4 linked regions of the Stegostoma tigrinum genome follow. The protein of the gene in region 2 purifies or fractionates together with the protein of the main gene of each other region. This does not show direct contact. Links are inferred from orthologs where the notes say so. Each region holds a gene or a part of one and is shown on either strand. Other genes may lie near its edges.

Region 1 (7,514 bases), on a different chromosome or scaffold from region 2:
TTGTCTTTTTGTAGCCAGTTGGTGTTCATGTACTCTTGTTGTTAGTTTCCTTCCTGTTTGCCCGATGTAGTGTTTCTCGCAGGCTCTGCAGGGGATCTTGTAGATGTCCTGTCCATGGCGGGGAGTGGGACCCTAGTTCGGGTGAGCAGTTTCCGAAGGGTTGACGTGGGCTCGTGTGTCACTCTGATGCCCAGCGGTCATAGGAGTCTTGCGGTGAGTTCCGACGTGTTCCTGCTGTAGGATAGTGTGATGTGTGTGTCGGGAAGTGTAGTATCTTTCCGGATATCCAGTTTTTCAGAAAGATACTACATGTATCTTTCATCAAGAAACATGAACTGATGTGAATGCGTTGAATAAACCTAAGATAGCTGTTAAATTTTTAATCACTTAGAAATGACGAATACACAAAATCCCAGAATTTATTTCAAGTCACTGTCCCAAGATAACTAAAGGTTTTATCAGTATACCAGAGGTGACTTCTCAAGTCAGACAATGCATTTTAGATGCGAGGCTTCGTTTAGAATCTGGCTGTTTATTAACTTGGAGTCAGATTGGTTTTATTTCCAAAGTAGGAATTTATAAAATTCCACACTGACTGTCTACAAATTGTGTGCTTTTTGAACGGAACAGAATGTATCTGCAATTACAAACCTGCAAATGCAAATTCACCCCATTGATATAGGTGCGTGTGTGTGCGCGCATGCTTGAGAGAGAGAGAGCGTCTATAAGCCTTGCCAAAGACGTTATTAAAGTCCACACAGGCAATGTCTACCGCTCTGCCCTCAATTATCTTGTTCATCTCCTCTTCCAAAAAACTCAACAAAGTTTGTGCGATATGATTTCCTGTGCACAAAGCCATGTCAACAATCCTGACTAGTCATGGCGAAGGGTTTTGGCCTGAAACATTTACTTCCCTGCTCCTTGGATGCTGTCTGACTTGCTGCGCTTTTCCAGCTCTACATTTATTAACTTTCCAGTCTTCTAGGACCTCAACTGTGGCTATCAATGATATAAGCATCTCTGCTAGGGGCCCCACAATTTCCTCCCTATTTTCCCTCAATGTCCTGAGATACATTTGGTCAGGTCCAGGGGATTTATCTACCTTTATGTGTTTTAAGACCTTCTCTTCTGTAATGTGGACTCTTTTCAAGATATCACCATTTATTTCCCTGAATTCTTGAGCTCGATGTCTTTCTCCATAGCAAATACCGTGGCGAAATATTTGTTCAGTGTCTCAACCATCCCCTGTAGTTCAACACTTAGACAGCTTCATTGATCTTTAAAAGGCCCTATTCTCTCCCTAGTTACTCTTTTGTTCTTAATACACTTGTAGAATCTTGTTGGGTTCCCCTTAGCCTTACCTGCCAAATCTACCTTAGGTCTCCCCTTCCCCTCCTGTTTTCACCCCCTGTACTCCTGAAGGGATTCATTTGATCTCAGTTGCCTATACCTGGCATGTGTCTCCTTTTTTTCCTTGACTAGAGCATCAACATCTCTAGAAATCCAGCATATCCTATACTTGCCTATCACATCACACGAATATGCTGTCCCTGACTCTGGGTATCTCACCTTTTAAAGTTTCCCACTTGCAAGACATCCTTTTACCTGTACATAGCCTCCCCAATCAATTTTTGAAAGTTGCTGTCTAACACCATCAAAACTGGCTTCAGTTCATCAAGACTGCTTCCCCAAAAATATACTAGCTGTGCTAATTAAAAAACAAAAGAACTGTCAATGTTGTAAATCAGAAATAAAAACAGAAATTGCTGAATAAGCTCAGCACGTCTGGCAACATTGTTGATCTTTTAAGGGCCCTAGTTACTCATTTGCCCTTAATACACTTGTAGAATTTCTTTGGCCCTTAATATACTGTTCTGAGGAAGGGTGTTTTTTCATTCATGGGATAAGGGCATCACTGACCAAGCAACATTCATTGCCCATCCCTAATTGCCTTGAGGGTAGTTCAGAGTCAACCACACTGCTGTGGGTCTAGAGTCACATGTAAGCCAGACCAGGTAAAGATGGCAGTTTCCTTCCCTAAAGGACATTAGCAAACCAGATGGATTTTTTCAACAATCAATGATGAATTCACGGGCATCATTAGAGTCTTAATTCTGGATATTCATTGAATTCAAATTCCACCATCTACTGTGGTGGAATTCGAACCTGGGTTTCTCAAACATTTCTGGGTCTCTGGATTATCAGTATAGTGCTAATACCACTGGGCCATTGCCTCCCCAGGGTCACCAAAGTTAACGAAACATTAACTCTGATTTCTCTTCGCAGATGCTGCCAGGCCTGCAGAGGTTTTCCAGTAATTTCTGTTTTTGTTACTAGTTATGCTATCCACCTGCCTGCACTCATAACCTTGAAAATTATGACATTTCAAGTGCTCATCCAAGTACTTTGTTGCTGCACCCCACTACCTTCCCAGGCAATACATTCCAGACCTCCACTCTCCTCTGGGTTTTTCCTCAAATCCTAAGCCTCTTGCCTTTCAGTTTAAAATTATCCCTCTTGTTATTGAGCACTTTGGGTCTAGTGATCATAATTCCATTAGTTTGAAAATGTTCATGGAACAGGACAAGCCTTCCACAAAAGTTGAAGATTTTAGTTGGATCAGGGTAAATATTTCTAATGTTTTGGAGGAAATCTGTAGCTCGTGTTGTGGGTGTTAAGGTTGGTTGGCTCGCTGAGCTGGTTTGTTGTTGCAAAACAACAAACCAGCTCAGTGAGCCAACCAACCTCAAAGGCAAATATTAACAGTATGAGACAAGAACTTTCAAAAGTTAATTGGAGTAGACTGTTTGCAGGGAAAGGAACGTTTGACAAGTGGGAGGCTATCAAAAGTGACATAACCAGGGTTCTGCAGCATTATGTTCCTGTCAGAGAGAAACGTAAGGCTGGTAGGGAAAAATGAATGAACAAACATATTGAGGTTCTAGTCATGAATAAAAAAGAATCAGGGGCATTCTTAAGAGTGATATCAGGAAAGCAAAGAGATGTGAGACCGGCTAGGCAGACAAGGTTAAGAATAGTCCAAAGAGATTCTACAAGGACATTAAGAATAAGACAGCAACTAGGGAGAGAGAAGTCCCTTAAAGACCCAAGAGTCGTCTTTGTGTTAAATCTCATGAGATGGGAGTGATATTAAATGAATATTTCGCATTAGTTTTTGCCATGGATAAAGAAATGGTCGCTAGAGAAAGCAGGGAAATAAATATTGATGTTTTGAAAACTGTTCACTTTACAGAAGAGGATGTGCTGGAGAGCTTATAAACGTAAAGGTGGATAAATCTCGTGGACCTGATCTTGCGTATCCCACCATGAGATACGACCAATTCTCACTTGTCTCAATACACGCGGACAACCCATCCATAACTGCACAAGCCAAACAGAGACACGCCAGGGAATTGGAGGCCTGGTATTCTAACTGGAACTCCATCAACAAACACATTGAATTAGACCCCTTGTACAAAAAACAGAGATACAGACCTGAAAGTGGTACCAAACATCCCAACAAATGGAGGCATATAAATAACAAGCGGAATTGAACACCAACGCTTCACCAGAGGCACACTAACAATCTTACCTCACAGAGTGACGAAATGTCTGCAAACAAACCCACCAGCTTGGCAAGCAAGTCTATAACCTCAAGCTAGTCACCAGTCTGATTCAGAAATATATTACTATTCCTTCAATTTGTCTGGGTCAAAATCATACAGTCCCAAGGATCAGTGGGATGAGAACAAAAACAGAAGTTCCTGAGAAAGCTCAGCAGGTCTGGCAGCATCTGAGAGGAAGAAAATCGGAGTTAACGTTTCGGGTCCAGTGACCCCTCCTTCACCGGATCTGAAACGTTAACTCTGATTTTTCACAGATGCTGCTAGTTCTGCTCAGCTTTTGCAGCAACGTCTGTTTTTGTTACTGAGTTACAGCATCTGCAGCTCTTTCGGTTTTTATTCAGTGGGATGAAAAGCTGAGGTTGGATTTTATTCCTGGAATTTGGAAAGAGATGAGAAGAAACGTTTTCTCTTCAAAGGTTTTAAACCTCGGTAATTTTCTAACCAGTTTAACCAGAAGTGTATACACCAGGTGTAGATGGAGCATCAGCTGTGATCTTACTGAAAGACAAGCTGAACGGCCTACCGCGTTACTATTTCTCATGTTTCACAAACACATCTGACCCTACCTTCTCCTTTATTCATCTTCTATCCACCTCCCCGTCTCCCTATTTATTTCAGAATTCCCTTCCCCTCCCCCATTTCTGAAGAAGAGTCTCGACCCGAAACGTAAAACTTTCCTGCTCCTCTGATGCTGCTTGGCCCGCCGTGTTCATCCAGCTTCACACCGTGTTATCTCTAATCAATGTCTCCCACTTCATTTCCAACGTCCAAAGTAACCCTGTGCGCACGGGGCACTATGGGAGTGAGAGCACGGGCGGGGCCGCGGGGCACTGTGGGAGTGAGGGCAGGGGCGGGGCCGCGGGGCACTGTGGGAGTAAGGGCAGTAGCCAAGGCGCAGGTTGGTGTGGGGGTGAGGGTCATCATGGTGAAGCTGACGGCGGAGCTTGTTGAATTAGCAGCTCAGTACACGAACCCGGTCCGAGATCGGGAGCTTGATCTTCGGGGTAAGAGAGTGTCGGAGAAATTTGGCTGATCGTCGAGCTATGCCCGTATCTAGCCGTGGGCCCAGAGGCAGTCTGGGGCAGGACTTCCAAAGCGCGGTTCGTCCTCCCCTCCCCCCGCACCCTCCCTGGTTCTTCTCACCCGCCTTGCCCATCAGCCTCCCCACCCCCCCTCCCTTCACCCTCCCCCCCCCCCCTCCCTTCCCCCTTCCCCCTCCCCCCCCCCTCCCTTCCCCCTCCCCCCCCCCTCCCTTCCCCCTCCCCCCCCCCTCCCTTCCCCCTCCCCCCCCCCTCCCTTCCCCCTCCCCCCCCCTCCCCCCCCCTCCCCCCCCCCCCTCCCCCCCCCTCCCTCCCCCTCCTTCCCCCTCCCCCCCTCCCCCCTCCCCCCCCCTCCCCCCCCCTCCCCCCTCCCCCCCCCTCCCACCCCTTCCCCCTCCTTCCCCCCCACTCCCCCCCCTCCCCCCCCCTCCCCCCCCCTTCCCCCCTCCTTCCCCCCCACTCCCCCCCCCTCCCCCCCCCTCCCCCCCCCTCCCCCCCCCTCCCCCCTCCTCCCCCCACTCCCCCCCCACTCCCCCCCCACTCCCCCCCCCTCCCCCCCCCTCCCCCCCCCTCCCCCCCCCTCCCCCTCCTTCCCCTCCTTCCCCCCACCTCCCCTCCTCCCCCCCCCCTCCCCCCCTCCCCCCCCCTCCCCCCCTCCCCCCTCCCCCCCTCCCCCCCCTCCCTCCCCTCCCTCCCCCCCCTCCCTCCCCTCCCTCCCCCCCCCTCCCTCCCCTCCCTCCCCCCCCTCCCCTCCCTCCCCCCCCTCCTCCCCCCTCCCTCCCCCCCCTCCTCCCCCCTCCCTCCCTCCCTCTCCTCCCCCCCCCCTCCCTCCCCCCCCCCCCTCCCTCCCCCCCCCCTCCCCCCCCCCCTCCCTCCCCCCCCCCCTCCCTCCCCCCCCCCTCCCTCCCCCCCCCCCTCCCTCCCTCCCCCCCCTCCCTCCCTCCCCCCCCCCCCCCCCCCCCCCCCCCCCTCCCCCCCCGCCCCCTCCCCCCCCGCCCCCTCCCCCCCGCCCCCTCCCCCCCCGCCCCCTCCCCCCCCCCCCTCCTCCCCCCCCCCCCTCCCCCCCCCCCCCCTCCCCCCCGCCCCCTCCCCCCCCCCCCTCCTCCCCCCCCCGCCCCCTCCCCCCCGCCCCCTCCCCCCCCCCCCCTCCTCCCCCCCCCCCCCTCCTCCCCCCTCCCTCCCCCCCCCCTCCCTCCTCCCCCTCCCTCCTCCCCCCCACCCTCCACCCCCCCCCCCTCCCCCCTCCCCCCCCCACCCCCCTCCCCCCCCCCACCCCCACCCCCCCCTCACCCCCTCCCCCCCCTCACCCCCTCCCCCCCCTCTCCCCCTCCCCCCCCTCTCCCCCTCTCCCCTCCCCCCCCTCTCCCCCTCCCCTCCTCTCCCCCTCACCCACCTCCCCCCCCTTCCCCCCCCCCCCCCCTCCTCCCCCACCCCCTCCCCCTCCCCCCCCACCCCCCCCCCCCCCCTCCCCCTCCCCCTCCCCCACCCCCTCCCCCTCCCCCTCCCCCCCCCCCCCCCCCCCCCTCCCCCCCCCTCCCCCCTCCCCCTCCCCCCCCCTCCCCCACCCCCCCCCCTCCCCTCCCCCCCCCTCCCCCTTCCCCCCCACCCCCTTCCCCCCCCCCCCTCCCCCCCTCCCCCTTCCCCCCCTCCCCCTTCCCCCCCTCCCCTCCCCCCCCCCCCATCCCCCCCCCCCCCCCACCCCCCCCCCCCCCCCCACCCCCCCCCCCCCATCCCCCCTCCCCCCCCCCTTCCCCCCTCTCCCCCCCCCTTCCCCCCTCTCCCCCCCTTCCCCCCCTCCCCCCCCCTCCCCCCCCCCCCCCACCCCCCACCCCCCCCCCCACCCCCCACCCCCCCCCCCCCTCCCCCCCCCCCCCCCCCTTCCCCCCACCCCCCCCCTTCCCCCCACCCCTCCCCCTTCCCCCCTCCCCCACCCCACCCCCCCCCCCCCCCCTCCCCCACCCCCCCCCTCCCCCCCCCCCCTCCCCCCCCCCCCCATCCCCCCCCACCCCCCCACTCCCTCTCCCCCCCCCCCCCTTCCCCCCCCACCCCCCCCTCCCCTCCCCCCCTCCCCCCCCTCCCCCTTCCCCCCTCCCTCCCCCCCTCCCCCCCTCCCCCCCCCTTCCCCCCTCACCCCCCCCTTCCCCCCCCCCCCCCCCTCCCCCCTCCCCCCCCCCCTTCCCCCCTCCCCCCCCCCCTCCCCCCTCCCCCCCCCCCTCCCCCCTCCCCCCCCCCCCCTCCCCCCCCTCCCCCCCTCCCCCCCTCCCCCCCCTCCCTCCCCCCCTCCCCCCCTCCCCCTCCCCCCCCCTCCCCCCCTCCCCCCTCACCCCCCCCTTCCCCCTCCCCCCCCCCTTCCCCCCCCCCCCCTCCCCCCCCCCCTCCCCCCTCCCCCCCCCCTTCCCCCCACCCCCCCCCTCCCCCCTCTCCCCCCCCTTCCCCCCTCCTCCCCCCCCCTCCCCCCTCTCCCCCCCCCCCCTTCCCCCCTCCCCCCCCCCCTTCCCCCCTCCCCCCCCCCCATCCCCCCCTCTCCCCCCCCCCCCTCCCCCCCTCCCCCCCCCTTCCCCCCCCCCCCCCCTTCCCCCCCCACCCCCCCTTCCCCCCCTCCCCCCCCCTCCCACCCCCCCCCTCCTTCCCCCCCCCCCCCCCCCCCCCCTCCCCCCCCCCCCTCCACCACCCCCCCCACCATCCCTCCACCCCCCCCCCCCACCCCCCCCCCTTCCCCCCCCACCCTTCCCCCCCCCCCCCCCCCCCACCCTTCCCCCCCCCCCTTCCCCCCCCCTCCCTTCCCTTCCCCCCCCCCTCCCTTCCCCCCTCCCTTCCCCCCCCCTCCCTTCCCCCCCCTCCCTCCCCC
Region 2 (7,548 bases):
TCAAATTACATTTTACAAGCTTGCACCTATACCTCTCGGGCCTGCAGTCATCATCTCATTTGAAATCAGCATGGATTAAACTTTTCCATCCTGCTTGGTAGCCTGCAAAACCTACAAGTCCCAGATATTAATTGTCAAAGTTTTCCAAACCTCTTTTTAATTCAAATCATGACACTAGACATCCAGCTTTCTATCTGCTTCTTTGAGGGTTTTGATTTTTCTTTCTTGCTGTTAACAGTAAAAACCAAACAGAGGATTTGAAAGCATATTCTATTAGTTTAGTAATGAGACTCTATTTGTCTTGAGCACTTAATTAAGAACAGTTCCAGCATCACCTTCAGCTATTCCAACATTATTCACAAACCACATTTTTTTTCCTGTTCCAACGTACACATATCGAATGCAGATTATAGTTTTACAGCTATAGAGATGATGCAAAGAAAGATCAACTCTAAGCTGGAAAGGGCTCAGAATAGATTTACCAGGATGTTGCTGCAAATGGAAGGTTTGAGTTACGGGGACAGACTGGGGCTTTTCCCACTGGAGCAAGAGGAGTAGTGAACACAGTTATAAAGATGGTTAAATGGAATCAGAGACTAGCCTAGAACACTTGTTTTACAAACTAAAGACACATATAATGGGGTTTTCAACAGGCCATTATGATGATGACTGTTTTTGTTCCATATTAATGACATGTGTTTGAGGCATTATAGCAAAACTTGCAGATGACACAGAAGTATTAAGTATTCTGAACCGTGAGGACGATGTAAAGAACGCGAACAGGCTACTAGATTGAGCTAACGCTTCAACAAAATTTACTACACAGGTGGCTGAAGTCATATATTTTGGTAGGAAGAATAAGGACAGGCACTGAAATACAGTACAATTGTAAAGAAAGTACAAGCCTTGGGGACACGCACAAATTATTGAATGTGCTCAGGCATGTTAGGAATACTGTTGATAAGGCATTTGGGATCTTGGGTTGTACAAAGAGGGAGAGACAAAATATAAGAGTAAGGAAGTCATCACTCGGCTTTAAAAAAATACTAATTCAACCTCAACTGAGTACTGTGTTCAATTCTGGCCCACATTTTAGGAAAAATGTGAGGGTATTTGAGACTGTACAGAAAAAGACAGAACTCCAGGGTAAAGGGTCAAGTGGGTAAATTAAAGAAATGGGCTGTTCTCCTGAGAAGATTATGAGGTGATCAAAATCACAGTAAACCTGCAAAGTAAATTGGGATTTTTTTTATTTTCATTGTTAGAGGGGTCAAAATCAGAAGACATCCAGAGTACTGCAAGGGATCAACAAAAGAACTAAAAGTTCATGAACAGAAACCTTATATGGATCAAGAAATGCAATGGATGCAAATGTGGTGGAGCTTGGCTTTGGATTGCTCATCTGACTCATGGATACTGACTTTCAAATGGATAATTACATGAACAGACCAGATATGGGCTGGACTGAAAACAGGACTAAGTGAATTATTCTCAGGTAGAGTAGCCTCCTGTATTGGAACTAACCTACGTGTCCATGCTTAAACCATAGTTTAACCTACAAATTGCCAGTGGACAGTCAATGTGCGATAAATGAGCAACATTGGGCAAGACATCATTTGCACCGGTGGAGCCATACTGCTTCTACTTTCGGGAAAGTAGGGGAAGAAAACAGGAACGAAATTACACGTTCATGGGACGTTAAATGTGTTTTAGTAGTGGTTAGATTGCCAAAAAAGGCCTAGCTAGGAACCCCAGTGGCTCCCACCCCTCTCTCCACCCCCATCCCCGCGAAGGGGTGGGGGGGGGTCGCACTTTTCCGCTGATTAAATAAATTTTTAAAACACCAATAAGCCTTATCTCCCTCATCAATATATTTCCCCACTGTTCCCAAACCTTAATCTCTGAAAAGAGGACAACTGACATTCTTTCTGCGCCTCTTCTAGAGACGTTCAGGACGAACCTACATAAGGAAAATAACTTCGAAAAGATACCGTTAGTAAACGTGCAGAAAGCTTATTCCCGCCATAGCACTGGGCATGGCAAAACGACGGAGAAAACTTCAACAGTACATGTCTTCCCCTCTACCCCGAGGTATTCGGTATAAATTCCCAAAACCCGGGTGCGGCCTCGGAAACGTGGCCCAGCCATGTGCAGAAACAGGCGTAGGGCAGCGCCAATGTCTTGTTGAGGCTCCATATATTACAGGATCGAACGGAAGGCGCTGTCCTGCCAAGAACGGCCGGAAACCTTGCAAGATACAGCGGCGGCAAAACAAAAAACAGATTACCTGAAACGAGACATGAGCAGGAAAGTTGCAGGCCGGCGGCACCAAGTCGCGGAGGTGGCGGGAGGTAATGGACAAACCCGCAGGCCCTCGGCCTCTCACGCACAGTCACTCTCGGTAACTAACGCGCTTTCTCCGCAAGAGGCAGAGCGGAACCGCGGCGAGCCGCAGCCGCCCCTTCCGCTCGGCTAAGCCGGGCGGGACGCTGAGGGAGCGCCGCTTGACCCCACCGACAAGGCCGCTGTCTCGGCAAACCAGCCGAGGCCCTAGCGCTCAGAGCCGCTGTTCAGATGCAGCCAGCCTCCCGCCGGCGTCCCACTCTGCGGATTAACCTACCCGTCCGAGGTGGCGCGCTTCTTACTGGACGAGTAATCGTCCCCCAAGTCGACGCGGTGCCGCTTTGACATGTCTCCGCGTTCTAGAGCGGTCCGGGTGCGTTCCGATTCTGTCTCTCCGTTCGATCCCCTTCTGTTCCGGGTTCCGTCCCGATTGTTGCAGAAGCTCATGCGCAGGCAGCACCTCCTCTGATCACCTTGCACCTGTCTCCCTTACCTCTCTCGATATCCCTATCTACTTTCTTCACTTCCCGCTCCCCACTACAGCCCAGTGTTTAATGTATAAGACGAGCAGCCTCCAGCAACAGGCCCCGACGCAATGCCGGGCTTCTTCCCAACACTTCCACAAGATGGCGGCTCCCAGACCGAGACGTACCTCGTTCTGGCACGGTTACGCCGCGGAACCGCAGCAAGATGTTTTAACATTTTATTATTGAATGATCCTTGCGGTTTTAGTTTCATATAGCTTCTGTCAGATGTTATAAACTGTCCTGAGTTGTGTGAAGTCAACACAAAATGTACCGTTTCTGGGAGTAAGATTTGAAATCTACCTCATTTCCTGTCCTAAACACAAGCACGGTTATTTTCCCGTTGTTTCAATAATTGATAGACCTGAATTGAAACCGGTTACGAGATGACCTTTGTAAGTTTTTAAAAGCAGTCTATAACATTCTTTCCTCGATGCAGACGGAACAACAGAACAGCCATAGTCACAATCTTCAACTGAACTGCCGGTCATGGTTCTTCAATATTTGTGAGCAACCACATAACAGAGAGCTTTCAAAATTCACTTGGACAATGACAATGTAACTACTTCATGTTCAGTTCAAAGATAAATAACTTTTGATCATGCATATTTCAATTATTATTATCCTATGGGATGCAGGCTAGCAAAGTCTGTTAACTGTATAAACGCAGTTGGACTGAGTGGCTTGGTAGGCCATTTCAGACGGCAGTTAAATGGCAATCATTGTTGTGGATCCAGAGTCTCATGTAGACCAGACCAGAATGGCAGATTTTCTTCGCCAAAAAGGTTATAGTGAATAAGATGAGCTTTCACAGTCTATGACAGATTCGAGGTCACCACCAGTGAGACCAGTTTTCAATTGCAGATTTTATTAATTTGAATGTTAAATTCCATTAGCTGCTTTGGTCGGTTTTGAATCACTGTCCTTAGAATATTAACCTCAACCTCCTGGGTTACAAAGTCCAATGACATTACTATCACATCCACTATTGGGAAATGGATAGGTGGCTCTCTGTTACCAGAGTCTCTTGAATTGTATGTTGTCTCCGTGGTGCCAGGATCAGGGATGTCTCCGAGCAGCTATCAGGGCATTCTGAAGGAGAAGGGTGAACAGCCAACAGTCACGCCTCTTGTCAGTGCCAATGACTTGGGGAACAAAAGAACAAAAGAAATGAGGTCCTGGAACAGGAATTTAGAGAATTAGGTATAAGATTAAAGAGGAAGTTATAAGTTATAATCTCTGGATCACTTCGAGTGCCCTGTGCTATTTAGTATAAGACTCGAAAGATATGTCAGATGAATGTGTTGCTAAAGGGATGGTGTAGCAGGGAGCACTTTAAATTTTTGGATCATTGGGACAGCTTCTTGAGTAGGTGGTTACATCTACACTGGAATGGGTCCAACAACCTTGCTGCGAAATTTGTTCATGTTGTTGGGGAGGCTTTAAACTAATTTGATAGGGCAGGGGACAAGATGGATATAAAATCTGAAGCAAGTTCCAATCAGAAATAGAAGGAATGCTAGAATTGTCCATTAGGCAGAGGAGACATAGACAGGTTAAAGCACAAGAGGCCAAGAAAGCTAAATTGTATCTGTCTTAATGTAAGGATCTTGACTGATAAGGCAGATGAACTTAGAGCACTGATCAGCATGTGGGATATGATATTGTTGCAACCACCAAGACATGGTTGGAGGAAGGACCAGACTGGCAGCTCAACTTTCCAGGCCATAGAAGTTTCAGGCACAACAGTGAAAGATATTAGAGGTGGGGGCATGGCATTATCAATAAAAGAAACTACCTCTGCAGTAATGAAGGAAGATGTTGTAAAGAGGCCTTCAAATGAGCCCATCTGGACAGAGTTTAGAAATGAGAAAAGGGTTATTACTTTGCTGAGATTATACTACTGGCCTCCCAACTGTCCGAGGGAGATAGAAGAACAGAGGTGTGAGAGAAACAGGGTTACACTTGAAGGGAATTTCTGAAATTATTAGTCATCTTTGATTTTGACCTTTGCTGAAGTACGTTGAGATAATTTGTATTCATGGATTCTCATGTACTCTGGTCACTTACCATTTTCCACAGTACTTGTGTTCTGAAGAATTAGGTGTGTGCAAGATTATTGGCTTTATGTTGTCCTCGGGAATGAAGCCGGTCAAGTGGTTGAAGAGTTCATGGGTGATTGTTTTGGAGATGGTGACAATAATTCTGAGTTTAAAAGTCACTATGGAAAGGGATAAGGATAATACAGAAATTGAGCATCAAAACCAAGGGAAGGCCAATTTCAATAGTGTTAGTCTGGATCTGGCAAACATAGGCTGGAAGCAACTAGTTGCAATAAGTCTACATTTGGAAAGTGAGTCTTTTAAAAGCAGTACAGTGAGGATTCAGGACCAGCATGTTCTTCTAAGAGTGAGGGATCAAGGCAGCAAGTCCAGTGAACCCTGGCTGTCTAGGGGAGTGGGATGGGAATGGCCTAATGGTATTATCGCTATACTTTTAATCCAGGGACCCAGGTTCAAATCCCACCATGGCAAATGGTGGAATTTGAATTCAATAAAAATCTGGAATTAGGAGTCTAATGATGACCATGAATCCATTGTTGATTGTCAAGGAAAAATCCCATCTGGTTCACTGATGTTCTTGAGGGAGGGGAAACTGCTATCCTCATCTGACCTGGCTGACACGTGACTCCAAAACCACACCAATATTAACTGTTAACTACCCTCTGGGCAATTAGGGATTAGCAATAATGTTGATCCAGCCAGCAACACCCACATCCCATGAATGAATGTATTAAAAAAAGGATGTTCAGAGTTGAATAAAGAGAAAGAAGGAGGCCACATCAGGAACAAGGCAGTAAAAACAGGGGAAGCCCCTCAAAGGTATACAGAGCATAGGGGTAATAAGAACTGCCGAAGCTCAAGTCTGAGATAACAGTGTGGAGCTAGAGGAACACAGCAGACCAGGCAGCGTCAGAGGAGCAGGGAAGCTGACATTTCAGGTCGGGACCCTTCTTCAGAAATCTCCATTTCCTAAGAAAGGTCTAGGCCCAAAACGTCAGCTTTCCTGCTCCTCTGATGCTGCCTGGCCTGCTGTGAACTTCCAGCTCCACAGAGTGTAGGGAGTTGCTTAAAAAGTAAGTAGGAGGGCAAAGAGGGACCTTAGCCAGATAGTATTGTGGAAACCACTGATGCAATTTATAATTATGTTAAAAGTAAGAGAATTAGCAGGGAAAGAGTGGGGTCTATTAGAGACCAAAGGAGCAATCTGTGTTTACAGGCAGAGGGGAAAGACATTGTAGACGGTGATTTTAGCTGGGACATTGAGAACGTTAAGAATAATGAGGAGTATTACATGTTTTAGGAGGCATGAAGGCGCAAAATTCCAGGGGCCTGATTAGATGTATCCCAGGCTGCTATGGGCAACAATGGAAGGGAGCGCTAGAGCCCTGGCAGAGATATTTAATACTTTGCTGGCCACAGATGAAGTGCCAGATGTCTGGAAGATAGTTTTTGTGGTTCCTTTGTACAAGAAAAGCAGAGATAGGCCAGTTAATTACAAACCCAGTAGTCTGATGTACATATTAGGGAAATGATTGGAAAAAGCTCCGAGAGACAGGATTACACTTGTAGAGGCAGCGATTGATTAGGAATAGTCAACATGGATTGTTAGAGGAAAATCTTGTCTGACTAATGTGATTGATGTGGAGGTACCACTGTTGGACTGCGGTGGACAAGGTCAAAAGTCACATGACATCAGGTTATAGTCCAGCAAATCTGTTTGAAATCACAAGCTTTTTAAGCGCTGCTCCTTCATCAGGTGATGTGAAGAGAGCACCCAGGCACAGACTTTATAATCAGAAAGGTCAAAAGATCACTTGGTTTGTCTCCAGCACCACCTTATTTTTAAGTTTTTGAAATGATCTCTCTGTCTCAAGTAATCTGATTGGAGGTCATCCCTTCACTTGTTATTCAGCCTCTCGACACTCCAGTCACACCATTTGTCTAATCTTTTAATCTCTATAATCAGTCCTGAAGAAGGGTGATACCCGGCATGTTGACTGCTCCTTTCCTCCAGATGCTGCCTGGTCTGCTGTGTTCTTCCAGCCTCCTGTTTGACAGCCTTGGATTCCAGCACTTGCAGTTTTTTTTTTGTCTCTAGGGGATGATGTTGTGAGGGTTACTTTTGTAACTGGAAACCTGTGACCAGCGGTGTACGCGGGGTTTGGTCCTGGGATCTTTGCTGTGTTTTACATACATTAACAACTTAAATGTAAACGGGAAGATATAACTAGTGAGATCATAGATGATATGAAAATTGGTACTGTTGTTGATAGTGAGGATGACTGACTCGGGGTACAGTCTGATTTTTGTGCTGCTGTTAAACTGGACAAAGTAATAGCAGATTAAATTTAATTCTGATAAGTGCAAGGTGATACATTTTAGGAAGGACATACACAATGAGTGACAAATCCCTAGGGAGTCCTCAGGATCAAAGGAACCTTGGTGCATAAGTCCATTGTTCCTTGAAGGTGACAGGACAGGCAGATAGGGTGGTGAAGAAGGCATATAGGATGTGTGCCTTCATTAGCTAGGGCTAGAATATAGTAGCTAGGAAGTCATATTCTAACTTTATAAAGTGATTGGTTTGGCCAAGATGGAATACTGTGTACAGTTCTGGT
Region 3 (8,004 bases), on a different chromosome or scaffold from region 2:
TCCACACTCCCCACTAACCCCACCAACCCTGGCACCTTTCCCTGCAACCACAGGAAGTGCTACACCTGCCCCACACCTCGCCCTTCACCTCCATTCAAGGCCCAAAGCAAACCTTTCATACCTGACAGGGGTTCACCTGTATATCCTCCAACTTGGTATCCATTGCTCTCGATGTGGCGTCCTCTACATTGGTGAGACCAAGTGTAGACTCAGGGATCGTTTTGTAGAGCATCAGTGCTCTGTACACAACAAACAACACCTTCCGGTCACCAACCATTTTAAGTCTCACTCCGACGCCCTGGGAGACATGTCCAACCTGGGCCTCCTCCTGTGTCCCAAGTCGCAACCCACAAACTGGAAGATCAGCACCTCATATTCTGCCTCTCCAGCCAACAGCCCGATGGCCTAAACATGAAATTCACCAGTTTTAATATCCACCTCTGCCTCATCCTATGACCAAACCTCCCTCTCCTTGACCTGACACAACCTATCTGCCCCCCCCCACCTCACTGACCGATCCCCACCACTCCCTACCGGCATTTACCTATCACCATTCCACCTACCTTCCCCAGTCCCACCCCTCCTCTCTATTTATTTGTGAGCACCCTTGCCCCCTCCCTACTTCTGAAGAAGGGCCCAAAGAACAACACTCCTGCTCCTCCGGTTCCACACTGTCGCCCTAATAAGTCCACTTTAGTGCTATCTGTTTTGGTGTTGATTAACAAGTGCCTTTTGATCTTCTGGTAATCTTGATTAAGCATGAAGCAAAGCGATGGGTTATCGTTGCACACCAATCATCAATTTCCAGATGTATTCACCACCGGAGGGAGCCATTCAAGATTTACCTGCCAGCAGGAGAACCTTGTCTAACGAAGTTAATCGAATTGCGAACAACAGCACTCACTCACAGGTTGTACATGATACGTTGGTCTTTCTGATTTGGATAGTTTCAGTAATCTTGATGTTACGAGTAATTATAGGTAATGCTCCATTGCTGACTCCATCAGCAATGACCTGGACTAGACAGAATCTAGTTGATCTCAAGATGGGCATACTTTATCTGTAAGACTTACTCTAAAAAGTCCCTGGACCTTAGCTTTATACAGGCTTTCTTTAATTTCTCTCCTCCAGTGTCACAACGACTCCACCCAGAAACTGGAGGAACAGGACCTCATATTCTGCCTTGGAACCCTACAACCCAACGGTCTCCTATGGACTTTACTAGCTTCAAAAACTTGCTACCCTTGACCTCATCCCAGGACCAGCCCCTGCTCTCATTTCTGCCTCCTTGACCTGTCTGTCTTCTTTGCCACCTATCCGCTCCACTATCCACCTTCTATCATCGTCTGCCGCTCTTTACGTATTTGGGTCCCCTTCCCCTCCTCCATTTTTGAAGAAGGATCCAAGATGTTGCTTGGCCTTGCTGTGTTCATCCAGCTCCACACTTGGTTATTCCGGACCAGAAAAGTACAGCTACCTAGAATACACCTCCTCCCACCCACCCTCCTGCAAAAATTCCATCCCCTATTCCCAATTCCTTCGCCTCCGCTGCATCTGCTCCCAGGATGAGGCATTCCACTCCCGCACATCCCAGATGTCCATGTTCTTCAAGGACCACAACATCCCCCCCGCGGAGGTCGAGAACGTCCTTAACTGTGTCTCCCGCACTTCCCGCAACACATCCCTCTCACCCCGCCCCCTCAATAACCGCCCTAAGAGAATCCCCCTTGTCCTCACATTACACCCCACCAACCTCCAGATACAACGCATCATCCTTCAACACTTCCGCCACCTACAATTCGATACCACCACTAAAGACATTTTTCCCACCCCACCCTTGTCTGCCTTCCAGCGAGACCACTCTCTCCGTGACTCCCTTGTCAGCTCCACACTCCCCTCCAACCCAACCACACCCGGCACCTTCCCCTGCAACCGCAGGAAGTGCTACACTTGCCCCCACACCTCCTCCCCCACTCCCAACCCAGGCCCCAAGACGACTTTCCATATTAAGCAGATGTTCACCTGCACATCTGCCAATGTAGTATACTGTATCCACTGTACCCAGTGTGGCTTCCTCTACATTGGGGAAACCAAGCGGAGGCTTGAGGACCGCTTTGCAGAACACTTCCACTCGGTTCGCAATAAACAACTGCACCTCCCAGTCACGAACCATTTTAACTCCCCCTCCCATTCCTTAGATGACATGTCCATCTTGGAGTGCCACAATGATGCTACCCGAAGGTTGCAGGAACAGCAACTCATATTCCGCTTGGGAACCCTGCAGCCCGATGGTATCAATGTGGACTTCACAAGCTTCAAAATCTCCCCCTCCCTCACTGCATCCCAAAACCAGCCCAGCTCGTCCCCGCCCCCCAGGGCATAACAAAACCAGCCCAGTTTTTCCCCGCCTCCCTAACCTGTTCTTTTCTCACCTATCTCCTCCTCCGACCTCAAGCTGCACCTCCATTTCCCACCTACCAACCTCAACACGCCTCCTTGACGTGTCTGTCCTCCCCGGACTGACCTATCCCCTCCCCACATATACTCTCCTCTCCACCATCCATCTTCAGTTCGCCTCTCCCTATTTATTTCAGAACCCTCTCCATGAAGGGTCTAAGCTTTTGTGCTCCTGAGATGCTGCTTGGCCTGCTGGGTTCATCCAGCTTCACACTTTGTTATCTTGGATTCTCCAGCATCTGCAGTTCCCATTATCTCTGATCTCAAAGATAATGGGAACTGCAGATGCTGGAGATTCCAAGATAATAAAATGTGAGGCTGGATGAACACAGCAGGCCAAGCAGCATCTCAGGAGCACAAAAGCTGACGTTTCGGGCCTAGACCCTTCATCAGAGAGGGGGATGGGGGGAGGGAACTGGAATAAATAGGGAGAGAGGGGGAGGCGGACCGAAGATGGAGAGTAAAGAAGATAGGTGGAGAGGGTGTAGGTGGGGAGGTAGGGAGGGGATAGGTCAGTCCAGGGAAGACGGACAGGTCAAGGAGGTGGGATGAGGTTAGTAGGTAGCTGGGGGTGCGGCTTGGGGTGGGAGGAAGGGATGGGTGAGAGGAAGAACCGGTTCGGGAGGCAGAGACAGGTTGGACTGGTTTTGGGATGCAGTGGGTGGGGGGGAAGAGCTGGGCTGGTTGTGTGGTGCAGTGGGGGGAGGGGATGAACTGGGCTGGTTGAGGGATGCAGTGGGGGAAGGGGAGATTTTGAAACTGGTGAAGTCCACATTGATACCATATGGCTGCAGGGTTCCCAGGCGGAATATGAGTTGCTGTTCCTGCAACCTTCGGGTGGCATCATTGTGGCAGTGCAGGAGGCCCATGATGGACATGTCATCAAGAGATCCCCTATTCCCAATTCCTCCGCCTCCGCCGCATCTGCTCCCACGATAAGACATTCCACTCCCGCACATCCCAGATGTCCAAGTTCTTTAAGGACCGCAACTTCCCCCCCACGGTGATTGAGAACGCCCTTGACCGCGTCTCCCGCATTTCCCGCGACACATCCCTCACACCCCGCCCCCGCCACAACCGCCCCAAGAGGATCCCCCTCGTTCTCACACACCACCCTACCAACCTCCGGATACAACGCATTATCCTCCGACACTTCCGCCATTTACAATCCGACCCCACCACCCAAGACATTTTTCCATCCCCACCCCTGTCTGCTTTCCGGAGAGACCACTCTCTCCGTGACTCCCTTGTTCGCTCCACACTGCCCTCCAACCCCACCACACCCGGCACCTTCCCCTGCAACCGCAGGAAATGCTACACTTGTCCCCACACCTCCTCCCTCACCCCCATCCCAGGCCCCAAGATGACATTCCACATTAAGCAGAGGTTCACCTGCACATCTGCCAATGTGGTATACTGCATCCACTGTACCCGGTGCGGCTTTCTCTACATTGGGGAAACCAAGCGGAGGCTTGGGGACCGCTTTGCAGAACACCTCCGCTCAGTTCGCAACAAACAACTGCACCTCCCAGTCGCAAACCATTTCCACTCCCCCTCCCATTCTCTTGATGACATGTCCATCATGGGCCTCCTGCACTGCCACAATGATGCCACCCGAAGGTTGCAGGAACAGCAACTCATATTCCGCCTGGGAACCCTGCAGCCATATGGTATCAATGTGGACTTCACCAGTTTCAAAATCTCCCCTTCCCCCACTGCATCCCTCAACCAGCCCAGTTCATCCCCTCCCCCCACTGCACCACACAACCAGCCCAGCTCTTCCCCCCCACCCACTGCATCCCAAAACCAGTCCAACCTGTCTCTGCCTCCCGAACCGGTTCTTCCTCTCACCCATCCCTTCCTCCCACCCCAAGCCGCACCCCCAGCTACCTACTAACCTCATCCCACCTCCTTGACCTGTCCGTCTTCCCTGGACTGACCTATCCCCTCCCTACCTCCCCACCTACACCCTCTCCACCTATCTTCTTTACTCTCCATCTTCGGTCCGCCTCCCCCTCTCTCCCTATTTATTCCAGTTCCCTCCCCCCATCCCCCTCTCTGATGAAGGGTCTAGGCCCGAAACGTCAGCTTTTGTGCTCCTGAGATGCTGCTTGGCCTGCTGTGTTCATCCAGCCTCACATTTTATTATCTCTGATCTCAAGTCAGCTTTCCTGCTCCTCTGATGCTGCCTGGCCGACTGCAGCTCCATAGATATAACACAATGTGGAGCTGGAGGAGCACAGCGGGCCAGGCGGCATCAGAGGAACAGGAAAGTTGACGTTTCGGGTCCGACCCTTCTGATGAAGGGTCTAAGCCCGAAACGTCAGCTTTTGTGCTCCTGAGATGCTGCTTGGCCTCCTGAAAAAGGCCCACTTTTCTACTCCAGCTCCTCGCTATGTTATCTCTGAATCACCCTCCACAGTTCTTAAAAGAACTCCGTCCAGTCTTTTCGATACAAATATCAAGCAAACCCAGAATCTAATAGGGGTTGATGTTTGGTGAGATTTTAAAAACAGGACGTCGTTTATCTTTTGATGGGAAAAAGGATAGTACTGCTCGTGCATTTCTAGCCTTCACTTACGTATTGTGTTGGTATTGAAACTTAAACTGGAATCTTTGCGATAAATGTTTATTCCTTGTCATACTTCACACCCCCCCCTTACAATCAATAAGTGGAAGATTCCCTCTCCTTTCCGGTCCGTTCCGCGAACGTTGCGGGGTGCCGTGTTCTGTCTGTAATTGTCTTTAGAATGTTCGGAAAGAATCCGAAGCGGAATTTCCGCCGCAGGAGGAGTGAGTCCAGCGAGGAGGATGATCAGGAGCAGCTTCAGCCCGGAGCTAGGACCAGGGCTGCAGTCATACTCGCTCCACCAACCTGTGGCTTAGCCAGGGCCCAGTCCGCCAGCCCCAGCTCAGCTTCAGCAGACAGTGGCAACGAGGAAGCTGTAGTCGAATGGGGCGCTCCAAAGCACACCAGTCAAACCCGTAACTGTGACCTCAGTCTGCTGAGCTTCGGCTACGACAGAGAAGGTAATGCTGCATATTAGTCCGCCGTCAGGTATCTTTGGGCAGGCACGCTAAGATCTGTTCCTCTGAGCTTCTTAGTGTCTTGCCTTTCATTGAGGATACTTGTCTTGTTCCTTCTTCCAAAGTGTAATCCCTCCTATTTATCAGGATTAAATTCCATATGCCACTTATCTGCCCTTCTGATCAATCTGTTTATATTCTCCTGCAACCTAACGCCTTTCTCCTCAGTCAACCACACAATCTTTATGTCATCCGTAACTTCTTATCCACCCCACATTCTCATTTTTGTCACTTATGAATATCACATACAATGAGGGACACAGCACATCCCTGTCGTATGCTACTGGGTCCCAATCTCACAAACAGTGTTGCACTACCATACTGTGTCTCCTGTCACTTCAGTAATTCTAGATCCAACTTGCCAAGTTAACTTGAATCCCATGAGTTTTTACGTTTTTTACCAGTTTCCCATATGGTATTATTCTAATGAATTTGAGAATAAACTTTCAGTGCAGTAATTGGCCAACTTGGATTTTTCTGAGATAATAAAATGTGAGGCTGGATGAACACAGCAGGCCAAGCAGCATCTCAGGAGCACAAAAGCTGACGTTTCCGGATTTTTCTGATTTACTTTTGTAGATAGGAAATATCTGGGCAATTTTCTACATTGGGTAGATGTCAAAGTTGTACCTGTGCTGGAACAACTTGACTAGGTATGCGGCAAGTTCAGCAGCCAAATGTTCAGAATTCTATTGCTGTCATATTCTCAAGGCCCAAAACCTTGACTGTATCCAAGGCCTTCAACCATTTCTTGCTGTCGTATGAAGTGAGTTGAATTGGCTGAAGTTTGGTATCTGTAATGCTGGGCACCTCAGAAGGAGGCCAAGATAGATTACCCACTCAGCGTTTCAGGATCAGGTTTTACCCATTTTAATACATACTTTTGAAACTCCTGTAAATTTTTAGGGATTCGTTTGTTGAAGGAATATGCTTAGATAATGAGTATTTATAAATTGTAGAAATTGTATAAAACCAGACACATTCAAATGGAAATCAGTGAAGCTTGACAGTTCACTGCAGTCTTAGATAATGAATTCCACAGATTCATGACTCGTTGTGAGAAGTAATTCTTCTTATCTCTTTTAATTCTGCTACTCCTTAAAACTCATTGTTGTACATTGTCTCACACGAGTAAACTACTTTTGATCTTCTTCATCAGTTACCTTAAGTGTCGTATATACCTCAATTAGATCTCTCATTCTATTGGAGAGGTTGATTAAAAACACACAATATTTGAAAAACCTGGGTCAGGCAGCATCCGAAATAGAAACAATTAACTTTCTTAATACTTCAAGGTGATAATCTGTTGACAGCTTTGTGGAATTGCAATCCAAATACCAGTGCCCTATCTACCTGAATTCTCCAGAACTCAAATTGGCTCATTTTTTCTACTGATCAAAACCTTCTGATACAGAATGGGCAATATACAGAGATCTGAACAGGAAATTTCTGTGCCTGGGCATACACCATCAGGAGTATTCTATAAAGAATACAGCAAGTGATAATGTCAAGACAAGTATGGAGAATGCTTGAGAAACTCCAGTTCAGCAGCGTCTGTGGAGAGAGAAAGAGAGTTAATGTTTCATCTGGTATGAATTCTTCGGCATTCTTCCTTGGCAATTGAAAGGCAGGTAGTTTCCTGTTAAAGTTTCACATGAGGAGAAGCATGAAACGGACTGGAGCCTGGGACAGCTGGGAGATGGTGAGTCAGTGCTAATGGAGACAGAGGTCAAGTTTGCATGTGACAGCACACCGCATTGTGTGTGGATTACAGAATCCCAATGACTCCATTTGACCCATCAAGTCTGCACTGACCCTCTGAAGACCATCCCACCCAGTACCCTCTCCCCAGAGACAGAGGATTCACCTATCTTGCACATCCTGGATAGTACAAGGCATTTTAGTATGGCCAATTCACCTAATCTGCATATTTTCAGACTGTGGCAGGAAACCAGAACAGCAAGAGGAAACCCATGCAGGCATGGGGCAAATGTGCAGATTCCACAGAGCTGGTCACCTAAAACTAGAATTGAACCTGGATCCCTGGCACTGTAAGGTAGCAATGCTAACCTCTGAGCCACCATGCCGAGCCTTCAGGACTGCAGAATGCAGCGAGGGGCATATATTTGAGGAGATAACAAAGTGTGGAGCTAGAGGAACACAGCAGGCCAGGCTGCATCAGAGTAGCAGGAAATTTGATGTTTCGGGTTGGCACCCTTTTTCAGAAATATACCTGAGGAGCGTTGTCTGTCTCGGAAATGCCTGTAATCCTGGTTGGGTTAAAATGAAGAGTGGGAAGAACGATTGGAATTTGTGAGGGGTAACGTGGAACCAGAGGCAGACACTGAGGAAGATAGTGTGGCTGTGAAAGTGCATTTTGGTTAACACTTTATCCCAAACCAGAAGAGAGATAGAAAGCAAAGAATGTGAATAAGCCAAAAGATTAGAACTGAAATCCCA
Region 4 (7,324 bases), on a different chromosome or scaffold from region 2:
TGAAAGATATAGGACAGATGTCAGAGGTAGTTTCTTTAGTGAGAGAGTAGTAAGGGAATGGAACGCTTTGCCTGCAATGGTAGTAGATTCACCAACTTTAGGTACATTTAAGTCGTCATTGGATAAGCATTTGGACGTACATGGAATAGTGTAGGTTAGATGGGCTTGAGAGCGATATGACAGGTCGGCACAACATCGAGGGCCGAAGGGCCTGTACTGTGCTGTAATGTTCTATGTTCTATGTTCTATAAGTGAACAGAATTGAACTGGTTAGGAAGAGCACCCTGAGAAACTAGAGGCCAGGGAATTGTGCATTTTTGACCCCACGTTTTTGTCTGCAGCAAATGCAACATAAACTGCCATACTAGAGTGAAGTTTCTAAGCTACACAAGGCAATGCTTAACCCAGAGCTGACCACCTTGGTAAACACAATTGTTTATAAGATTGGTACAATCCACGGTACTTATGTTTTTTGATCTCCAGGCTCGCACTATTAGTCAGTTTATGGGGTGTGACTGTTGGTGTCTTGATTTGGCGGGTGCATGGAAGGCTGGTGTGCATGATGCATGTGTGGTTGTCCATGATTGCAGCAGCAGAGGGAGAGGTGATGGAGGAATCAAAATGAAATTAGTGGAAGCCCAACAACAACTTTATCTTCGGTGGAGCGGAGAGTTCGGGTGGGAAGGATAGGACGGGAATAGCACCTGAGGGATTTGCATGGCAACAGTAGGTGAGTTGGTTATAAAATACCATGATTATTTTCTATAACCTAGCTTTGTAAATCACTGTGTTAAAAATGAAGATTTACCAAATTTTAATGAAAAGTTTCAGGAAATCAATCAAGTGATATCCCACCATTCAAACTTAGACTCAAGAAAGAAGGGTTACTGGACTCGGAAAATTAACAATGTTATTCTTTCTACAGATGCTGCCAGATCTGCTGTGTTTCTCCAACACTTTCTGTTTTTGCTCAAGAAAGAAGCAATTTGTTGACACAAAACTTGAACACCAAACATTTTAAACTGCTTCAGTGATGGACAGTTTTACAGCAAAATGTCAAGAGTGTTTCTTCCTCAAACGAAACTGATTACACCACAAGCCTTTTCAATGTAGGGAAAACAGTTCCTAATTATTATCCGCTACGACTGTAAAAAAATTTGCAAGGCCAGACCAATGTGGTTTTGCACATTTTTTCCCAATGAAAAGTTAAAGAGTTCTGTTGAAGTATTTGGTGTAAGAAAAACTAATGTACTGTTGTAGTAAAGACCACAAATGTTTTTAACAACTTTGATGGTTTAATATGAAACATTTTAAGTATTGAACCACTGCAGCCTATGTGGTGCAAGTGCTTCCACAGTGCTGTCAGGGAGGGAATTCTAATTTAGAGTGCAATTATAATCAACAGATTCAGGAACATATATATCTTTAAATTAATTCCTCTGCTACTTTAAGGAGACATTAAACCATTTATTGAAAACCAGAATGTATGTCCACTCAAATAGTTATTAGGGAAACTGGTTGTGAGTGTTTTAAAATTATTTTATATAAAGGGAGAACCAATTGATGTGATGCATTTGTATTTTCTGTGAATTTTTTATAAGGTCCCTCTTAAGGGGTTAATGGCCAAAATTAAAGCACATTGGATAGGGGTAATTTATTGATGTGGATTGAGAATTGGCTGACAGATAAGAAACAGAGTGAAAATAAAGGGGTATTTTTCCAAGCGGCAGGCAGTAACTAGTGGTGTACTGCAAGCATTGATGCTTGATCAGCTATCTACAGCATGTTGAATGACTGAGAACATTCCCAAATGCAAATTCCCAAATTTGCTAATGACATAAAACTGGGCTGGATTGTGGTTTGTGAGGAAGAAGATGGAGACTTCACTGTGATTTAGACATATTGAATGAATTGGCAAATACATAGCAGGTGTAGTACAATGTGGCTCATTATGAAGTTTTACACTTGTGAAAAACAGAAAGAAAGAGATTTTGGTGGTGATATATTGGGAAGTGTGTGTACAAAGGGATCTGGGTGTCCTCGTATATCGGTTGATGAATGTAGACAGGCAGCTGCAATAGTGAGTAGAAAGGAAAATGGTACAATGCAAGAGGATTTGAATTCAGAAGCAGGATGTCCAACTGCAGTTATACAGACCATTGGTAAAATCATGCCTGCAGTTTTGTATGTAGATTTGGTCTCCCAGCCTAAAAAGGTTTATACTTGCTATAGGATGAGGTTTACTAGGCTGACATCAGGGATTGCCATATGAAGAGAGAGTGGTTCAACTGGGGTTTTAATTCACCAGAGTTTGGAAGGATACAAGATGACCTGATTAAATTGTATACAATTAAAACTGGGCTGAACGGATTGGATCCTTGGTTAGACAGTCAGAACCAGAGGGCATAAACTAAGGATAAAAATGGTGAGCCTGTGAAATTCTCTACCATAAAAGGCTGTGGAGGTCAAATCACTGAACACATTCAAGAAAGAGTTTTTTTTAATTTATTTTAATGGCATCAAGAGGTTTGGGTGGAAATCAAGATGATGGAATTGTGACAGAGGATCAGCCATGATCACGTTGAACGTTGGAGCAGGCTTGAGGGGCTGAATGCCTTCCTGTCCCCTAGTTTCTAGGTTTCTCCAACTTAAGGCTGAAAAGAAATGTCAGCAAGCTCATTGGTTCTGTAATGAACAAACGCCATACCAAACTTCATCTCCAAAGTCAGTGAAGAAACACAAGATTTTTATTATTTCACTGCAAACTAGATGTTTAGGAGAGAAGTGCTGGGTTGGCTCATTTTCACTGCATTTCTCAATGCTACGCTTCTTTGAAGGCATCCTGATGAATGCCTTCGAGTTCTATGTTGGGCAGCCCTTTTAATAAGACAAGGATAAATCACTTTTGATTCCACTAAGCCTTCACGCACAGTAAAAACTAAGATTTAACTTGACAAATGGACTTTCTCCACTATCCCACGATAACCAGCATGAACCTTCCCCATCCATATGATTCCCTTTCAAAATAAATTTCCTCTTTTCTTTTTCTGCTATCTCAGGCTCATGCAGGGATGCAATTTCAGCAGATAGCTCTTGTTTCCTCTGTTTTAGGAACATAGAAATCAGCCATTGGGTCCATTAAGCCTGTTCTGTTATTCAATGGATCATGGGTGATTTTTTTACCTCTGTGCCATTTTACTGTGTCTTGAACATCCTTAATGACTTTTAAGGTGTAAAGAAAAAGAGATTTTAAAAAGACGAGGCAAATGTTTTACACAGAGAGTGGTTTATCTGTGGAATGAACTTCCAGGGGAGGTAGTGGATTGTGGGTACTATCACAACATTTAAAAGACATTTGAATAAGTACATGTATGAGAATGCTTTGGAGAGAAATAGGCCTGGAGCAGGCAGATGGGACTAGTTTAATTTCGGGTTATGTTTGGCATCAACTGGTTGGACTGAAATATCTGTTTCCGTGCTGTATGACTCTATGACTGAGCTTTCTGAGATTCACCAGCTCGGGTGAAAAAAAGCTTCCTCCATCTCAATTCTAAATTGCTTGCCCCTATGTTCGGAATCTGTGTCCATTGGCTGCAGATGCATCTCCTTTTGCAAACTCTGTAAGAATGTATAATGCTTCAATTAAACCGTCTTTCATTCTTCTAAACTCTAGAGGTTACAGGTCCTTTCCTCTCCATCTTTTCTCACAGGTCAATACCATCATCCCAGGAATCATCCGATGAATATTTGTTGTATTTGCCAGTGACAGGTATATCCTTCCTTCAGTAAGGACAGTCCTGAATCAAAAACTAGAGGCGTGTTTTTAAGAGGAGAGGAGAAGCACTTACAAGGGATCTGAGGGGCAACTTTTTTCCCCCCACACATAAGGTGGTTTGTCAGTGAAAATGAACTGCCACTGAAAGTGGTAGATGCAGGTACCGTTGCAACATTTAAAAACACATTTGGACAGGTACATGAAAAGGAAAGGTTTAGAGGTGTGTGGGCCAAATGCAGGCAAGTGGCACTAGTGTAGTTTGGAAAACCTGGTCGTCTTGGTCAAGTTAGACCAAAGGTATGTTTCTTTGCTGCATGTCCTTATGTTGTAGAGTAGGCAACTTAGCGTTCTAGGGCATTGTCTAAACGAGTGCCTGAAAATATGTTATACATCAATCTGTCTTGTAACTGTATTTGTAAAATTGGTTATTAAATAAATATATATTTCAGAGCCGGAGGTCCGGTGTTGTTTGATTCGATTCTTTTCTCGCGGCATACTGCGCATGCACAACTGGGCACAGGCCCCCGAGTTGGCCACCTATTCAGGCAGCAAGGACCCCAGGCCGGGAGCAGCGGGGTTGGTGACATTGAGGAGGATGGAGCCAGCAATCTGACGGGAAATCGGTGGCATCCTGCGTCCTACAGCAGGTAGCGCCGATTTTTTTGACTCCGGGAGCTCGGGCGGTGCTGATTTTACCAATATTGCCTTTCGATGGTTTCCCGTGGTTGTTTTTTGAGCCACGGTGGGCAGGCTGGCTTTCGGGCCTAAAAGAGGCGCGGGTGCAGGCCGTCCTGCTTCATGAAGGCGGGAAGTCGGTGAGGCCTCTTTAAGGAGGGGCAGATAAACTTGAAGCAGCTCCTGCAGTTTGCCGATGGTGGCAGCAATTTCTTTTTAAAACATCCTCTGGTACATTGGTCGCTGCCATGCGCAACCTAGCTAGTCGTGTTAAATCTGAAAAGAGAGGTATAACTGGATCAAAACCTGCCAACGCACAATTAGGGAGCGAAATATTAGTGGAGCTGCAGCCTCGGTTCACTGCGAACTTCATACAACTTATAGGCTTCACTTGTCCACCTCTTGTGCTTAGCATCCTCATTGCTGAAGAAAATGAGAAACACGTGGATTTGCGAAATGTTAGGAAGTGGCTTCTGCTAACCAGGTGCCCATTGTGAGCCATTATCTGCCAGATGCACATCTTAAATGTGGCCATAAAATGGATCTATTACACTTATTTTTCCCAGTCCAAGCCTTTAAATTAGGGAAGGGTGGTTGTGAGTTCGTATGTTCATCCGGTTTCTGCTGTGTCTTGCTGTTCAGCTGGTTGAAGATAACACGAGAGGGAAAATGGTCCTTGGACTGTGGTTGATCCCTGGGGTACAGAGGAGGTCAACATTTAGGTTGTATTTGCAACAGAGTTCTTTCAGTTCGAATTTGGGGATGTTTGCCAAGGAAAAAGTTCTAGGTTGATGGATCTGCTGTTGGAATTAGGGTACTTGAGATTAGTATTGTGGATGCTGAGCTGGCCCCAAGGCCAGACTCTCCTGTCTACCTTTCTGCAGCCCGACTTCCCACTATTTACTTCTGGGGCCCCCTCCCCCGTCTCGACAAAGATTTTCAGCCCAAAATGTTGACTTTCTTGCTCTTCTGGTGCTATCTGACCTGCTGTGTTGTCCGCCTCCATGTTTATTGACTCAGGCTTCCAGCATCTGCAGTCCTTAACGACTCCTCTGCCGTTCATTGTGCGATACCCAACGATCTATTGATTTTTTTTGTTGGATACACTCAGCAACTTGGCATTCAAGTTCTGGGGCAGAGGATTATAAAGATTCTTAGCCCTCAGTGAAGAAATTTCTCTTCATTCTGAGAATGACTTTGTGTTCCAGATTCTACAGCCAGCAGAAATACAGTCTCCCCATCTCCCCTATCAAGGCACTTCTGAATTCTAGTTCTTAATTAGATCATCTCATTATTTTAACCTTTCAGGGATCCGTGCCTATTACTCAAATAAAGCTGTCACCAAGTAATATATTAGATCTCATCATCAATGTCACTACTTGAAGGTTAGAATAGAACAATAGATCTGTTGAAGATGTGGCAGAATTTATGCATTTTTTGCAGTGAAGTGATATTATTATAATATTAATATAAATTATCAATAACTTTTATTGATACAGATTAGTTGTGGCTGGAATAGATTTGTAGAGAGATAAATGTAAAATCAGTACCAAATACAGAATTCCCCTTGATACTTGTAATGGTGTTAACTGTCATGTTTATAGTGTGAGATCTGTGCTTGCATTGTGTTAACTTTAAATTCTCAAAACTGTTAACTTTGTGTGCATTTAATTAAAATTGTGGTCAGAATCCTTAAAGATGTCTGATTTTTCAAAGAGGATAGAATGTAGCAGCTAACTTTCCTCTTTGCACGTGCAGTGAATTTTTTACATTTAACCAAGATGAGCCAGAGTTTTGAATACCTACTGGCATCCCCTAAGTAGACATAGTACGTTTCTTAGCCAAAGATAGTAATAACTGCAGATGCCAAAGTCAAAGATAACACGTTGTGGAGCTGGAAGAACACAGCAGGTCAGGCAGCCGCCGAGGAGCCGGAAAGTTGACGTTTAAGGTCGTTTCTTCATTTTCTGGAGAAGAGTTCTGACCCAAAACGTGAACTTTCCTGCCCCGCTGATGCTGTCCAGCCTGCTGTCTTCCTCCAACTGCACACACTTATTGCCACATTTCTTAATCAGTGCTTTTTTGAGGCTGGCCTGTTTATGTTGACAGATAATGTTGGAATCTGCAAAGCAGTGAGTTTTACTGAGATGCCTATTGTTGTGCGGCTATAATTGTTTCCTCACGAGTTTGGTTTGTAACTAAAATTTTTTGCTTTTTATTTGAGTATATGTTTGGTTGTGTGTCCTTGTTGCATACTTGCTCTTGCCTTCTGGTGGAGTTGGGTATGTGATCTTTGAAATCTGTTTGGTATTTATGGAGTGTCAATTTATTAACCAGTTACAAAGCTGGCAATTCAAATCAGTTTCCCAACCCAAGCTTTCGAGCTGACATTTACTAATCTTGCCTGAATTTGTTTCATGTTTGTATGTTGCTCTATTGCCTTTCTTCCATTCTGTCACCCAGGTGGCCATTTGTCATGTGAGCTTTTGAGAGCCAGCGTGTTGCGTTATCCTGCTGTGTCTGCAACCTGACTTCTTTTTTCAAGCAGGGATAAATTAAATAAGAAGCAGTAGTGTAGAGACGGGTGTATTTTCCTTTTCGTACTCAAGACCACCATTACGCCTCATTTATCGCTCTGGTTGGAGTCAACCAATTTAGAATACGTGCAGCTCTTTGAACTTAATGCCTCAGAGAGCTACAGCTGGAGTTTCGAATCTCTCTTCACCCTGTATTTTTGTGGCGATGGCTTATTTTAGACCTTTTCTAACCTATCGTTACGTTTTAGGGTGGTGTTTTTGTGGGAGAAAGTTGTTCCCAAACCGGGAATTAAGGTGACGTTTTCTTTTCAAAACTGCATGTGTTCGATTTGTAGAT

What was found.
Region 1: the proteins of dhx15 (region 2) and snrpa1 fractionate together in Homo sapiens (co-fractionation; 3 studies listed by BioGRID and IntAct, with this or other methods). This does not show direct contact. The link is inferred for Stegostoma tigrinum from reciprocal best matches to the Homo sapiens genes DHX15 and SNRPA1.
Region 3: the proteins of dhx15 (region 2) and gcfc2 purify together in Homo sapiens (co-immunoprecipitation; 3 studies listed by BioGRID and IntAct, with this or other methods). This does not show direct contact. The link is inferred for Stegostoma tigrinum from reciprocal best matches to the Homo sapiens genes DHX15 and GCFC2.
Region 4: the proteins of dhx15 (region 2) and sf3b3 purify together in Homo sapiens (co-immunoprecipitation; 4 studies listed by BioGRID and IntAct, with this or other methods). This does not show direct contact. The link is inferred for Stegostoma tigrinum from reciprocal best matches to the Homo sapiens genes DHX15 and SF3B3.

The regions. Positions count from the first base shown.
Region 1 is NC_081386.1:1,212,436-1,219,949, forward strand, and holds the start of snrpa1 (U2 small nuclear ribonucleoprotein A'), read left to right. Parts: upstream 1-4,500; 5' UTR 4,501-4,548; coding exon 4,549-4,630; intron 4,631-7,514. UniProt on the Homo sapiens protein: Involved in pre-mRNA splicing as component of the spliceosome. Associated with sn-RNP U2, where it contributes to the binding of stem loop IV of U2 snRNA.
Region 2 is NC_081354.1:88,290,749-88,298,296, forward strand, and holds the start of dhx15 (pre-mRNA-splicing factor ATP-dependent RNA helicase DHX15), read right to left. Parts: upstream 3,005-7,548; 5' UTR 2,791-3,004; coding exon 2,621-2,790; intron 2,590-2,620; exon of another isoform or gene 2,302-2,589; coding exon of another isoform or gene 2,288-2,301; exon of another isoform or gene 2,284-2,287; intron 1-2,283.
Region 3 is NC_081357.1:74,078,129-74,086,132, reverse strand, and holds the start of gcfc2 (GC-rich sequence DNA-binding factor 2), read left to right. Parts: upstream 1-4,996; 5' UTR 4,997-5,207; coding exon 5,208-5,487; intron 5,488-8,004.
Region 4 is NC_081369.1:5,608,086-5,615,409, forward strand, and holds the start of sf3b3 (splicing factor 3B subunit 3), read left to right. Parts: upstream 1-4,313; 5' UTR 4,314-4,422; intron 4,423-7,324. UniProt on the Homo sapiens protein: Component of the 17S U2 SnRNP complex of the spliceosome, a large ribonucleoprotein complex that removes introns from transcribed pre-mRNAs.